Anolis sagrei: one gene and its partner. The protein of the gene in region 1 purifies or fractionates together with the protein of each later gene. This does not show direct contact. Links are inferred from orthologs where the notes say so. Each region holds a gene or a part of one and is shown on either strand. Other genes may lie near its edges.

Evidence for each region.
Region 2: the proteins of CACYBP (region 1) and OTUD5 purify together in Homo sapiens (affinity purification with mass spectrometry; 4 studies listed by BioGRID and IntAct, with this or other methods). This does not show direct contact. The link is inferred for Anolis sagrei from reciprocal best matches to the Homo sapiens genes CACYBP and OTUD5.

Annotation. Positions count from the first base shown.
Region 1 is NC_090024.1:129,682,223-129,689,720, reverse strand, and holds the start of CACYBP (calcyclin-binding protein), read left to right. Parts: upstream 1-4,384; 5' UTR 4,385-4,399; coding exon 4,400-4,696; intron 4,697-7,498. UniProt on the Homo sapiens protein: May be involved in calcium-dependent ubiquitination and subsequent proteasomal degradation of target proteins. Probably serves as a molecular bridge in ubiquitin E3 complexes. Participates in the ubiquitin-mediated degradation of beta-catenin (CTNNB1).
Region 2 is NC_090022.1:178,619,931-178,627,164, reverse strand, and holds the start of OTUD5 (OTU domain-containing protein 5), read left to right. Parts: upstream 1-4,117; 5' UTR 4,118-4,710; coding exon 4,711-5,307; intron 5,308-7,234. UniProt on the Homo sapiens protein: Deubiquitinating enzyme that functions as a negative regulator of the innate immune system. Has peptidase activity towards 'Lys-48'- and 'Lys-63'-linked polyubiquitin chains. Can also cleave 'Lys-11'-linked ubiquitin chains (in vitro).

The DNA of each region.
Region 1 (7,498 bases):
TTATTACCAGTAAGCAATAATTTGATATCCCTCCTGTTCCTGGAACTATGATGTCCAAGTAACACCTAGCATGTTTGGTCCATTTCGACAACTACAAGCTTATTACAGACCCAAGTAGCTTGACTGTCAAAGATCCTCACAAGAAGATACATTAGGGAATGTACATACAGATTAATGCAAAGGCTAGTTTCACCTGAGTCTGGAGCAGGAAGATTTCTTATATTGGATACCTCCAAGAGAAACTTGGCAATGGACAAAGTCACATGGGGAAAATTATCTTCCAGTGAAAACTTGATATAGGAAGGTTGCTCAATAGTGGGTTGATAATATGTTGTAAAACCTGCTTGTAAAACCTGCAGGTTTGACACTTCCTGGTTACTGTATGGGAAAGGTCTTGCACTATATGGATGCTCTTAAGTAGCAAAATCTATTGGGCTGGCCCTGTCTCCATCTGCAATACGTGGATGAATAATAACATCTCAAATATTTTTTATGTATGGATAACAAATAAACCATTTTGAAGTGCTATGCACAATTCTGAATATTAGCTTATATTTAACTAATCAATACTTGCATTTTAACTATCAAAAGGAAAGCAAAACATTCTAAGGGATGTCATTTAAATCCTCGGCTTTCTCATCACAACAGGAAAAATAATTGGACACCTGAAAGTGGAAAAAAGGGTTAAGGATATACAACTAATTTCATGTGGGTCCAGTGTTGAATGGTAGGTTAATATCACTTCCTGTTCCTGAACCTCTGTGCAGTTGTGACCGGGTTCAGAGCTCCAGAACTGTAATTTCCCTTTTAAAATTGTGACTTAAGATTTTTTTCATTTATTTTATAATAAAAACACAATTGCATCGTTACATTGATTATTCCCAACCTTTTGCTCCCCCATCCCACCATCACCATACACATAACAGTGTACAGTTCTCAGTTCTCTTGCTTTTAGTTATAGGCAGTCCCCAAGTTATGAACAAGATAGCTTTAAAAATGAGGGCGAAAGGCGCCCCTGAAGTTTTCCCAATTATAGTAATTTATGCGCAATTACTGTAACCAAATTTCGTTATAGTAACGAATTTTTCCACTAATTGTACTTTAGAAACACTTTAGAAATGAAATGCTAGCACCTCCCAGTTTTGTAATAACTTTTGAAACATTTTTAAATGGATCAGACATCCCTAGTGTTCACCTTTCCCTATAGAATCATACAGTTGAAAAAGATCTCATGGGCCATCCAGTCCAACCCCCTGCCAAGAAGCAGAAAAACTGCATTCAAAGCACCCCCGACAGTTGGCCATCCAGTTGCTGTTTAAAAGCTTCCAAAGAAGGAGCCTCTACAAAACTCCAGGGCAGAGAGTTCCACTGCTGAACGGCTCCCACAGTCAGGACGTTCCTCCTAATGTTCAGATGGAATCTCCTTTCTTGTAGTTTGAAGCCATTGTTCCGCATCCTAGTCTCCAGGGCAGCAGGAAATAATAATAATAATAATAATAATAATAATAATAATAATAATAATCTTTATTTATACCCCGCCACCATCTCCCCTGTGGGGACTCGGAGCGGCTTACATGGGGCCAAGCCCGAACAACATATTACAGCAATAAAATCAAAACATAAACAACAAATAACAACAACATCAAAATTACATTAAAAATGCAGTCATAAAATAACATTCTAATAAACACAATCACGATAACGATAACAATGGGCGGGCCGCATATATATATATATATATATATATATATATATATGTTCTGTACATAATGAGTACCTTAAAAACAAAAGGCCCAATGAACGAAATCACACCAAATTTGACAACAAAATGTCTCACTACACAAGGAGTGCCCATCAATCAAAAATTATGATTTTGTCATTTTGGAGTTGTAGTTGCTGGGATTTATAGTTCACCTATAATCAATGAGCATTCTGAACTCCACCAACAATGGAATTGAACCAAACCTGGTACACAGAACTCCCATGACCAACAGAAAATACCAAAAGGGTTTGGTGGGCATTGACCTTGAATTTTGGAATTGTAGTTCACCTCCATCCAGAGAACACTGTGGACTCCAACAATGATGGATCTGGACCAAACTTGACAGGAATACTCAATATGCCCAAATGTGAACACAGATGGAGTTTGGGGGAAATAGAACTTGACATTTGGGAGTTGTAGTTACTGGGATTTATTGTTCACCTACAATCAAGGGGCATTCTGAACCCCACCAACGACAGAATTGGGGCAAACTTACTGTGTTTTCTGGTGATCTTTGGTGACCTTCTGACACCCCCCTGGTGACCCCCGGGGTCTTGACTTCCCAGATTGAGAAATGCTACCTTAAGGCCATCCAGTCCAACTCCCTTCACCAGGGCAAGAAAACATAATCACAGCCCTCCCGACAAAGGGCCATCCAGCCATTCACACATACACATATATGTATATGACAGATTCAGTATCAAAGATTTGAAAGGGACCCCTAAAGAAGGAGAATGATATGTTGCATGTTCCAGAGTAGGCAAACCAAACAATCTCCACATCAACACTGGCAAAGAAACAGCAAGAAATCCTGTTTACTCACAAGCAGAAAGAAATTACATATATTAGAAACCAACACTTTCCCATTACTTTTTTCCCAGATCACCAGACTGGGCCACAGCAATGCGTGGCAGGGGACCGCTAGTACAGGATAAGAACAATTAAAGGACTGAAATAAAATAAAATAGGAGGAGGACAATTACGGGGGATTCATAAAATACGTAGAATTGTGAGGCTAAACATCCCATTTGGAGGTGCGAGCTCCAGTAGCAAAAACGTTGGGGGATGCAAAATGTCGTGGTGTGCACCTAATCACCAAAGGCGCAGCGGAAGAACCAAGTTTTACGGTTCTTTTTAAACATTTCTAGTGAAGGGGCTTGCTCCCTCCTCCCTATGATTTCCTCTCACATATTTATGCATGGCTATCATGTCTCCTCTCAACCTTCTCTTCTTCAGGCTAAACATGCCCAGCTCTTTAAGCCGCTCCTCATAGGGCTTGTTCTCCAGACCCTTGATCATTTTAGTTGCCCTCCTCTGGACACATTCCAGCTTGTCAATATCTCGCTTCAATTGTGGTGCCCAGAACTGGACAGAATATTCCAGGTGTGGTCTAACCAAGGCAGAATAGAGGGGTAGCATGACTATGCTATCCAAAGCTAATTTATATAAATAAAAATGTAATGTTCGTTTGTGCTATTCACAGAACTCAGAAACCACTCCGGCAATTGACACCAAATTTGGACACTATGTCCCTAACAACCCAATGTATGTTCTCCACTAAAAAAAAACAACGGAAATGAAAAGCAGAAAGGACATCTAAACTGCATGTCCACAAAGGGGAAACTGCATGTCTACAGAGACCCATGGCCACGCCCCCTCCTCTTCCTCATGGGGAAACAGCCTGCCGTTAAAGCCAGGCGCACATGCACAGCCACATGCACACACACACACAAGGGAGTGGAGGAGGTGGAGGCAGTCTCCTCCTTTCCCTGTTGGAAGAGGAAATGGCAGATGAGTGCCAGCAGCAGCAACGAAGCAAGGAAGAAGGGGAGGAGGAGGGGGGAGGCGAGGAAGGTCCACAGTGCTTGAATGAAGGACCTTCCTTCTCTCCCTCCCTTCCCTTCTTTCCTCCCTTCCTTTTTCTTCTTTCCCTCCTTCCCTTCCTTCCTGTTCCTCCTTCCTTTCCTCCCCCCCCTTTCCTTCTTCTTTCCCTTTCTTCATTTCCTTCCCTTCCTCCTTTCTTCATCCCCCTCCTTCCTTCCTTCTCCTCCCTCCCTGTCCCTCCTTGTTTTCCTTCCTTCCCTTCTTTCCCTCCCTCCCTCCCTCCCTTTTTCCTTCCTTCATGTCTCTCCTTCCTTCCTTCTTCCTTTCCTTCTTTCTATGTAAGATATAAATACAATATTAAATGGAAGGGACAATCAAGAAGTAACGAGAGAAGGAGGGAAAGAGGGAAGGAAGGAAGGCGAGAAGTAGGGAGGGAAAGAAGGAAAGAAAGAAAGATAGAGAAAGATGAGAGATAGGGAAAGACAAAGAGGAAAGGAAGGAGGGAAGGGAGGAGAGAAAGAGGGAGGGGAGGTTGGCCACAGCAATGCGTGGCGGGTACTATATATATATTAGGCTGGAATTATACATAAAATGTACCTGTTCCGACTTACAAACAAATTCAACTTAAGAACAAACTGTGTACATTCTGTATGACTTGCAATGGTAAAAGAAAGCTGAGAAGAGAGGCGTCTTTGGGAGGAAAGCGGCCTTGTGGGAGCTTCATGCTCTCTCCACTCCTTCCTCTTGTTCCTCACTTGGGGCCTGCCTATATCTGTATTTAGAGACAACTCTCTTGCAGGCCTACTCTGTGAAATGCTTGGGATACGGAAAACTCAAGGGAAATACCTCAGGAAACAGAAGGGAGAACTATCGACCCCTCCACTGAAACTTTCAGCTTCCCCGGCACAAACCCGGAAATCCGGCAGGCAACAAGCCTCTTGCCAGCCCAGCTTTGGTCGTTTCCGGCCAGAGCGCGCCTTCCCTATTGGCTGGGAGGTCAGGAGGACAGTGACGTCATTGGCAGTGACGGCGCGCGAGGCAAGCTCGAGAGCGGCGCGAGGAGGCTGGCTTTTGCTCCTTTATTCCGCAGCCGCCCTCGAGATGGAGGAGGTGAGCATGCGCCGAGGGGGAGGGAAGGGTCGCTGGGCCTCAGGAAGGGGGAGAGGGTGGGCCTCCAAAGGAGTCTCTGGAGGGCAGTGGGGCGGAGGAGGAAATACAGGGCTCACAGACCCCGAAGCAGGGGTTTCTGGTTGAGGTCTGGCCCCAGTTAGAAGGCACCCCAAAGGCCATCCAGTCCAAACCTCTGCCAGGCAGGAAAAGCACAATCAGAGCAGCCCCAACAGATGGCCATCCAGCCTCTATTTAAAGGCCTCCAGAGAAGGAGATCAATTGATAGAATTATAGAGTTGGAAGAGGCCACGTGGGCCATCTAGTGCAACCCCCTGCCAGGCAGGAAAAACACCATCAAAGCACCCCCGACAGATGGCCATCCAGCCTCTATTTAAAGGCCTCCAGAGAAGGACATTGATAGATAGAATCATAGAGTTGGAAGAGACCATGTGGACCAATCTGTCCAACACCCTGTCAGGCAGGAAAAGCACCATCAAAGCACCCCTGACAGATGGCCATCCAGCTTCTGTTTAAAGGCCTCCAGAGAAGGAGATCAATTGATAGAATTATAGAGTTGGAAGAGATCATGTGGGCTATCTAATCCAACCCCCTGTCAGGCAGGAAAAACACCATCAAAGCAACCCCGACAGATGGCCATCTAACCTCTGTTTAAAGGCTTCCAGAGAAGGAGAGCGATAGAGTTGGAAGAGGCCTTTAGAAAAGGGGATCGATAGATAGAATCTTAGAGTTGGAAGAGGCCACGTGGGCCATCTAGTGCAACCCCCTGCCAGGCAGGAAAAGCACCATCAAAGCACCCCTGACAGATGGCCATCCAGCCTCTGTTTGAAGGCCTCCAGAGAAGGAGATCGATTGATAGAATCTTAGAGTTGGAAGAGGCCATGTGGGCCATCTAGTCCAACGCCCTGCCAGGCAGGAAAAACACCATCAAAGCATCCTGCCAGCCAGGACAAACACCATCAGAGCACCCTGACAGATGGCCATCCAGCCCCTGTTTAAAGGCCTCCAGAGAGCGAGATCGATAGATAGAATCATAGAATTGGAAGAGGCCACATGGGCCATCTAGTCCAACTCCCTGCCAGGCAGGAAAAGAACAATCAAAGCAGCCCCGACAAATGGCCACCCAGCTTCTGTTTAAAAGCCTCCGAAGAATAAGCTTCCGCCACACTCTGAGGCAGAGAGTTCCACTGTTGAACAGCTCTCACAGTCAGGAAGTTCTTCCTAATGTTCAAGTGGAATTTCCTTTCCTGTCATTTGAATATATTGCCCCAAGTGGCACTACCTAAAAGAATCCCACACCTTATGTGGCTGTGGAGCAGAACAGACAACTCCGCACCTTTATGCTTGTCCACTATGCCCTGCCTCATGTACAGAGGAAGACTTGTTAGAGGCCATATTGTTGCCTGTTTTTGGTCAAAAGATATTTAGCCACCTGTGCTCCTTCTATTTTTATTGGTTATATACTAATTTATGCAATGCTTTTGATACGAAATAATAATAACTGGCCCAAGTGAGCAGTGGGGTGCCACAAGGGTCTGTCCTGGGCCCAGTGCTGTTCCACGTATTTACCAATGACTTGGATGACAAAATAGAAGGCATGCTTATCAGATTTGCAGAGGAAAGAAGGCTGAAAGGGGGCATGATAGCTATGTTTATATATTTGTACGGAAGTCAAGTTGAAGACGTGGCAAGCTTCTTTGCATTATCGTAATGCATTATCATTTGGATACATTTGTGTCTCAGCAAGCTTGTTCGGTTTGCTGATCTTTGCTAAGAAGTCATTGCTGATTAAGCAGTCACAAATCTCAGTCTGAACACATATGTCAAGGTCTTGCATTGTCAGCTTAACTACAGTAATGAAATTCTGCAGTGCCACTCCCAGAAAAACCTACCTTGCAGCCTGACCAAAAGATTTCTGTTGTGCTAGATATCTGGGTCCTGAGGAATAGCCTTTGCAGTGTCTGATCGTGTGTCACGTGTCAGAAGCAACTTGAGAATCTGCAAGTCGCGTCTGGTGTGAGAGTATTGGCCGTCTGCAAGGACGTTGCCCAGGGGACGCCCAGATGATTTGATGTTTTATCATCCTTGTGGGAGGCTTCTCTCATGTCCTCGCATGAGGAGCTGGAGCTGACAGAGGGAGCTCATCCACCTCTCCCCGGATTCAAACCTGCGACCTGTCGGTCTTCAGTCCTGCCGGCACATGGGGTTTAACCCATTGCGCCACCGGGGGCTCTGCAGTGTCCGATATTTATTTATCATGTCATCAGCAACCATACCATTGTATTACATTTCTAACAGAACAAAACAAACAGATTTTTTAAAAAAACAAAACACAGATTTTGCCAACTTGGTAGTTGGTTAAATGTCCTTCGACCAGTATCTGGCCACTTGGAGTGCCTCTGGTGTTGCCGCAAGAAGGTCCTCCATTGTGCATGTGGCAGGGCTCATGTTGCATTGCAGCAGGTGGTCAGTGGTTTGTTCTTCTCCGCACTCGCATGTCGTGGATTCCACTTTGTAGCCCCATTTCTTAAGATTGGCTCTGCATCTTGTGGTGCCAGAGTGCAGTCTGTTGAGTGCCTTCCAAGTCGCCCAGTCTTCTGTGTGCCCAGGGGGGAGTCTCTCATCTGGTATCACCCACGGATTGAGGTGCTGGGTTTGGGCCTGCCACTTTTGGACTCTCGCTTGCTGAGGTGTTCCAGCGAGTGTCTCTGTAGATCTAAGAAAACTATGTCTTGATTTAAGTTGTTGACGTGCTGGCTGATACCCAAACAAAGGGTGAGCTGA
Region 2 (7,234 bases), on another chromosome or scaffold:
CGTCTGGGATAAGTGTGTCCATACAAAGCAGGTGAATATAGCAGTGAATATAGCATGTAGATCAGTGGTTCTCAAAGACAGAAGTGGAAAGAGATCTTGAATGGATTTATGTATGGGAGGCCTTGATGAGTTGTTCTGAACCTGTGGGTTCCCAGGTGTTTTGGCCTACAACTCCCAGAAATCCCAGCCAATTTACCAGCTGTTAGGATTTTTGGGAGTTGAAGGCCAAAAACATCTGGGGACCCACAGGTTGAGAACCACTGATGTAGAATAATCACAGGATGTCTCAAATCTACACCTGTTGAAAGACTTTATAAGCTAGCTGGCATTGCCCCCCACCCCCAAAGCCCCAGAATGGAAGTTGCTGCCAATTGCAAAAGAAATAACAAAATATGGTTATCAGCCTTTTCCCAGTAGGGTCAAATCAAGTGCCACAACATCCCACTTAAAGGCTATGCAAATCCATAAAGAGGACACTACAGCTTTTCAAAAGTCGAAAGACTTTGTTATCTGGTGGAAATTTAGATCATCCCAGGCCTAGCCTAAGACAGTTTGCTGCTTGGGACAGACACAACAGCAAATGTCTTCTCCTCAAGGCCAAGGAAAAGTTTCACAAGAAACACCACTCCTCTAAATGTTTCCCCAGCAACAGCAAGAGTATCCTTGTGGGCAGCCAAACCAGGAAATCCCAGGATCTTCGTCCAAGGGCAAAATAAGAACAGGCAACTTGGAAGTCCCTGGACAGACTCAGAAGTGGCGTGGACAGATCAAAAGATAACCTGGCAAAATGGAACTACAGTATTCCCTCGCTACTTTGCGGTTCGCTTTTAGCAGACTCGCTGTTTTGTGGGTTTTTGAAAATATTAATATTAAATATTAACTTCCAGTGGAGGCCAGGGACCCCTGAAGTGCGTTGGCCTGAGGCACAGCGGGAAAGGCCTGCCTCCCTGGCCTGCTGCTGCCTGCATGGCTCTGGTGGCTCTGCAGAGACCGGGGAGGCAGGTAGGTGCACTTGGTCAATGTAACTGGCTCCTTTGGGATAGATTGAAACAAAGAATCATGACGTGGAGGAAAAAGGAAGGCCCAGAAACAGATTTTGATCAAATGTTAAAGTGGAAACTAGAAAAGGAGAAAAGCCTGATGGGGTTCATATACAAGAGATTAGTTGGAATTCGATATAATTTGAAACAAGAAATAGAAATATGGAAAGAGGATTTAAATAACAATGATTCAGACATTGAACACTGGATCAATTCATCTATATTCCTTCACTCAGCCCTCCCTATGGTCTCACATCCATAGGTGACTATGGGGAATGCCATTGCTTTAACTATGCGGATCTTGGTTGCCAGTGTGATGTCTCTACTCTTCACTATTTTATCAAGATTGGCCATTGCTCTCCTCACAAGAAGTAAGCGTCTCCTGATTTCCTGGCTGCAGTCTGCATCTGCAGTAATCTTTGCACCTAGAAATACAAAGTCTGCCACTGCCTCCACGTTTTCTCCCTCTATTTTCCAGTTGTCAATCATTCTCGTTGCCATAATCTTGATTTTTTTGATGTTTAACTGCAACTCAGCTTTTATGCTTTCTTCTTTCACCTTGATTAGAAGGTTCCTCAGCGCCTCCTTGCTTTTGGCCATCAAAGTGGTATCATCTGCATATATAAGGTTAATGTTTCTTCCAGCAATTTTCACCCCAGCCTTGCATTCGTCAAGCCCCGCACATTGCATGATGTGTTCTGCATACAAGTTGAATAGGTTGGGGGTTTTTTTGTCGTGTCAGGAACGACCTGAGAAACTGCAAGTCGCTTCTGGTGTGAGAGAATTGGCTGTCTGCAAGGACGTTGCCCAGGGGACGCCTGGATGATTTGATGTTTTTATCATCCTTTTGGGAGGCTTCTCTCATGTCCCCGCATGAGGGGCTGGAGCTGATAGAGGGAGCTCATCCGCCTCTCCCTCTTCGCCTCTTCGAACCGCCTCTTCGAACCTGCGACCTGTTGGTCTTTAGTCCTGCCGGCACAGGGGTTTAACCCACTTCGCCACCGGGGGCTCCACATCAATTTGTAATAATTTTCTTTAACATGTATCGATAAATTCTTTAAATATCTTTGATCCCATAATTGTACCCAATCCACTTCGTTTATTCTAATCCCTAGGTCTTCCTCCCATATCTCTCTTAATGTTGCATCCTTTATTTTTTCCCCCCCTTAATATCAATTATTATCTTATACAATTTGCTGGTTATTCCTTTCAACTTGTGGTATCTTCCCGTAGCTCTTCCGTTTTGTATCATTTGTTCAACTTGCGTGAATTTGCCACCTTCCCCATTATTTTTTATCCAATTCTTGAACCATTGCTCTAACTGTAAGCAATGGAACCATGAGAGTTTAATATCTCTAAATTCTCTCAATATAGTTTCTTTCCTCATGTTTATTTGTCAGATTTATTTGTCGTGTCAGGGCAACCAGTCAATTATATTACATTTCTAACAGAACAAAGCAAACAAACAGACAAAATACAAAATTTGTGAGTTTGGTAGTTGATTAAATGTCCTTTGACCAGTATCTGACCACTTGGAGTGCTTCCGGTGTTGCTGCAAGAAGGTCCTCCATTGTGCATGTGGCAGGGCTCAGGTTGCATTGCAGCAGGTGGTCAGTGGTTTGCTCCTCTCCACACTCGCATGTCGAGGATTCCACTTTGTAGCCCCATCTCTGAAGGTTGGCTCTGCATCTTGTGGTGCCAGAGCGCATTCTGTTCAGCGCCTTCCAAGTCGCCTAGTCCTCTGTGTGCCCAGAGGGGAGTCTCTCATTTGGTATCAGCCATTGGTTGAATCAGCCAATAGTGAAAGGACCAAGGCAGAGACATCTCCAGCTCATCCCCTGTTTGGGTATCAGCCAGCACGTCAATGACTTAAATCAAGACATAGTTTTCTTAGATCTACAGAGACACTCGCTGGAACACCCCAGAATGCGAGAGTCCAAAAGTGGCAGGCCCAAACCCAGCACCTCAATTCATGGGTGATACCAGATGAGAGACTCCCCCCTGGGCACTCAGAAGACTGGGCGACTTGGAAGGCGCTGAACAGACTGCGCTCTGGCACCATGAGATGCAGAGCCAATCTTAAGAAATGGGGCTACAGGGTGGAATCCTCAGCATGCAAGTGTGGAGAAGAGCAAACCACTGACCACCTGCTGCAATGCACCCTGAGCCCTGCCACATGCACAATGGAGGACCTTCTTGCAGCAACACCGGAAGCACTCCAAGTGGCCAGATACTGGTCAAAGGACATTTAATCAACTACCAAATTTGCAAAATCTGTGTTTTTTTCCCCCCTTTTTCTTTTTAATCTGTGTGTTTGTTTTGCTCTGTTAGAATTGTAATACAATGGTTGCCGATGACACGATAAAAAAAAAGCCATTGGTTGAGGTTCTGGGTTTGAGCCTGCCACTTTTGGACTCTTGCTTGCTGAGGTGTTCCAGCGAGTGTCTCTGTAGATCTTAGAAAACTATTTCTAGATATAACATATTAGATAAAAAATATTACATATAACATATTAGCTAAAAAATTAAGAGAGAAGAATATAGATTTTTAAAAGCGGCCTTTTCCTTAATTGGGAGAGGGGGGAAAGGAAAGAGGCTGAGACTGTGAGGAATTGTGGGAATTGGAGTCCAAAACACCTGAAGGCCCCAAATTTGCCCAAGAATCCTTGTGGAGCAGAACAAATCACTCCGCATCTGAATGCTTGCCCTCAAACCAGAGGGAGGCTGTACAGAAGGGAGCCCGAAGAACCTGCCTCTCAGCCTATCAACGCCAGGGATTGCTTTCACCCAATCGGAAACAGCCCTCCGCTATTAGCCAATCATAAACCAGAGAAGCGTCTCTCCTCGAATCCACTTCCCAGGCCCCTTTCGGCATGCTAATCCGCCGCTTGCCTTCAATGGCATCGGGTGGCAGGAGGGAATGTAGAAAAGAGGCGGGGCCTCGCCTGAGTGACAAGCGCCGCTGGCCACTCGGCGAGGGGCTTCCGTCTCCGCTCAGCCACTGAGCGTGGAGTCACGTGCAGCAGCCTTTGAGAGCGGCGCCGTTGCCAGGGCCCTCCCCCGTCGCTAAGGAGGAAGGGGGGCGTGGAAACGGAAGTGGAGTTCGCCGGGGTCAGAGGCCGGCTGTGTTGATGTTGACACTAGGCCGGAGCTGTGGAGTAGTAGGCGCCGCCGCCGCCGGGACGCCGCGCAAGGCCCGAAAAGCTGTCGTGAGGGAAGAACGAGGCGGCGGCGGTGGCGGCGAGAGTTGGCGGAAGCAAGTCCGGCAGGGACAGCGGCGCCTCTTGGGGGCTGACGGGGCCCGCTTCCTCTTTTGACCCGCCTGGCGGGGGGCGCGATGCGGTTGTGATTGGGCCTGCCATCCGGGCATTCCTTCCCTTCCTCAAAGAAGTGGTTCCTCAGCGGGCCCTCCATCCGGGTCCCGGGCCTCTCCATCCGGGTCCCCGCTCTCCATCCCAGCGGAGGGGAGAGGGCCTCTTTCGCCCCTCTCCTCCGGAATCCCCAAACTCCCTTCCATACGGGTACTTCCTTCCTTCCTTCCTTCCTCACCCCCTCCTCCTGCATCCCCAGTGCCTTTGGGTTAACTGTCACTGCTTAGCCTCTCCATCCGGGGACTTGTGCCCCTCACGCGCGGCTCGGGACTCCTCTGCTTGCCCCCTCCCTCGGTTGCCATGACGATCCTGCCCAAGAAGAAGGCCTGCCCGGCCGCCGGCGACGGAGACAGGGACCAGCCGGGCTCCCGAGGGGGCGGCCAGGGCGGTCCTGGGGGACCCGGCGGCGTCGGGGGCCCGGACCCGCGGGGCTGCTCCGGCGCGGACTCCCACCCTCGAGGCCCCAGCGGCGTAGGCGTCGGCGGCGGAGGCGTCGGCGGGCCCGGGGAGCGCGGCGGAGCTAGGCCGCGAGCCTCGCCGCCACCCCCGCCGCCTCGTTGGGGGCTGCCCCCCGCCGCTGGCTCGCCGCCGCCGCCCAACCCCGGCGTGGGGCCCTGTGGTGGAGGCGGCGGGGACGGCTCGGGCCTGTTGGATCCCGGCGTGGCCGAGTCGCGAGGCGGTGGAGGCGGGGGCTGCTGCTCGGGGCCTGGACACAGCAAGAGGCGGCGGCGCGGCGGGCCCGCAGGAGGCCTTGGGGGACCCTCGGGGCCTGGAGGAGGCGGCGGCGGAGGCAACAGCCCCGAGCAGGACGAGGCCGGCGCTGGCTACAACAGCGAGGACGAGTACGAAACGGCCGCCGCTCGCATCGAAAGCATGGACCCGGCCACCGTGGAGCAGGTACCGCCTCAGGAGATGGGGCTCAGTGCCTGCAAAGAGAAGGAGTGGGGCCTTGCGCCCTCCCTGCCCTGTCAAATGAGATTAGTGGCCCCACCAGGCTAAGGGCCCTTCCACACTGCCATATCAAATCCACATTGAACTATTTATTTATTTATTTTCGCTCACTTCTACCCCACCTTTCTCAGCCCCCTAGGGGGGACTCATTGTGGCTTACAACCGGCACAATTCGATGCCAACAATTCAACAGATAAAATACATAGCAACAATAACCACAATAGTTAAAACATTCAATTAATACAATAACAATTATATATTTATCTTACACAGTGGTTCTCAACCTTCCCAATGCCGCGACCCCTTAATTCCTCATGTTGTGGTGACCCCCAGTCATAACCCTAACATTATGAATTGCCATGTAAATAATGATCTGCAGGATGTACTTTCATTCACAGGAGCAAATTTGGCACAAATACCTGGTATGCCCAAATTTGAACCCTGGTGGGGTTGGCGGGGGGATTGATTTTGTCATTTGGGAGATGTAGTTGCTGGGATTTACAGTTAACCTGCGAACAAAGAGCATTCTGAACCTCACCAACAATGGAATTGAACCAAAGTTGGCACACAGAACTCCCATGACAAACAGAAAATACTGGAAGTGTTTGGTGGCCATTGACCTTGAGTTTGGGAGTTGTAGTTCGCCTACATGTAGAGAGCACTGTGGGCTCAAACAGTGATGGATCTGGACCAGACTTGGCACAGATACTCAATATGCCCAAATGTGAAAACTGATGGGGTTTGGGGAAAATAGACTTTGAAATTTGGGAGCTGTGCTTGCTGGGATTTATAATTGACCTACAATCAAGGAGTGTTCTGAACCCCACCAATGATAGAATTGGGCCAAAGTTCTCACACAGAACCCCCATGACTAACAGAAAATACTGTGTTTTTTGATGGTCTTTGGCGACCCCTCTGACACACCTTCGCGATCCCCAGGTTGAGAAACACTGATCTTACATGTAATATTACTAATAATATTACAGTATAATTGATATAGTGCAATATAGCAATATTTAAAACTTATATTGTACTATGTTAATAATATACTGTATGTATATATACCTTGTAAGCCGCTCTGAGTCCCCTTCGGGGTGAGAAGGGCAGCATATAAATGTCGTAAATAAAATAAATAAATAAACAACTAAAAAGCCAATCTAGTGGCCAACGTATCCGTAAGTCCATTCAGCATTACCATAGTCCTTTCCAAATTCTGGTCGTCATTACCTTGTCAGTCTGCCAGATTACCCAAAGGCCTGGTCCCATATCCATGTTTTCAGCTTCCTTCTAAAGGAGAGGAGGGATGTTCATGACCTAATTTCGCCAGGGAGTGAGTTCCACAGGCGAGGGGCCACCACTGAGAAGGCCCTGTCCCTCGTCCCTACCAGCCTCACTTGTGATAGAGGCGAGGCCGAGAGTAGGGCCTCCCCCAAAGATCTTAGACTCCGAGGTGGGACATAGAAGGAGATATGTTTGGACAGGTAAACTGGGCCGGAGCCCTCTAGGGGGATTATATGGCAGTGTGGACTCATAATCCCTGATCAGAGCAGATTTTGTGGGACTTTCTGCTTTAATATTCCGGGTTATATGTCTGTGTGGAAGGACCCTCAGACCCCTTCCACGCTGCCATATAAAATCCACGTTGAACTAGATTATATGGCGGTGTGCACTCATAATCCTGTTCAGAGCGGATTTTGTGGGATTTTCTGCTTTAACCCCTTCCACATTGCCACATAAAATCCACATAATAATAATAATAATAATAATAATAATAATAATGCTTTATTTATACCCCGCTCCATCTCCCCCAGGGAGCCTCGGGGCGGCTTACATGAGGCTTACATTGAACTGGATTATATGACAGTGTGCACTC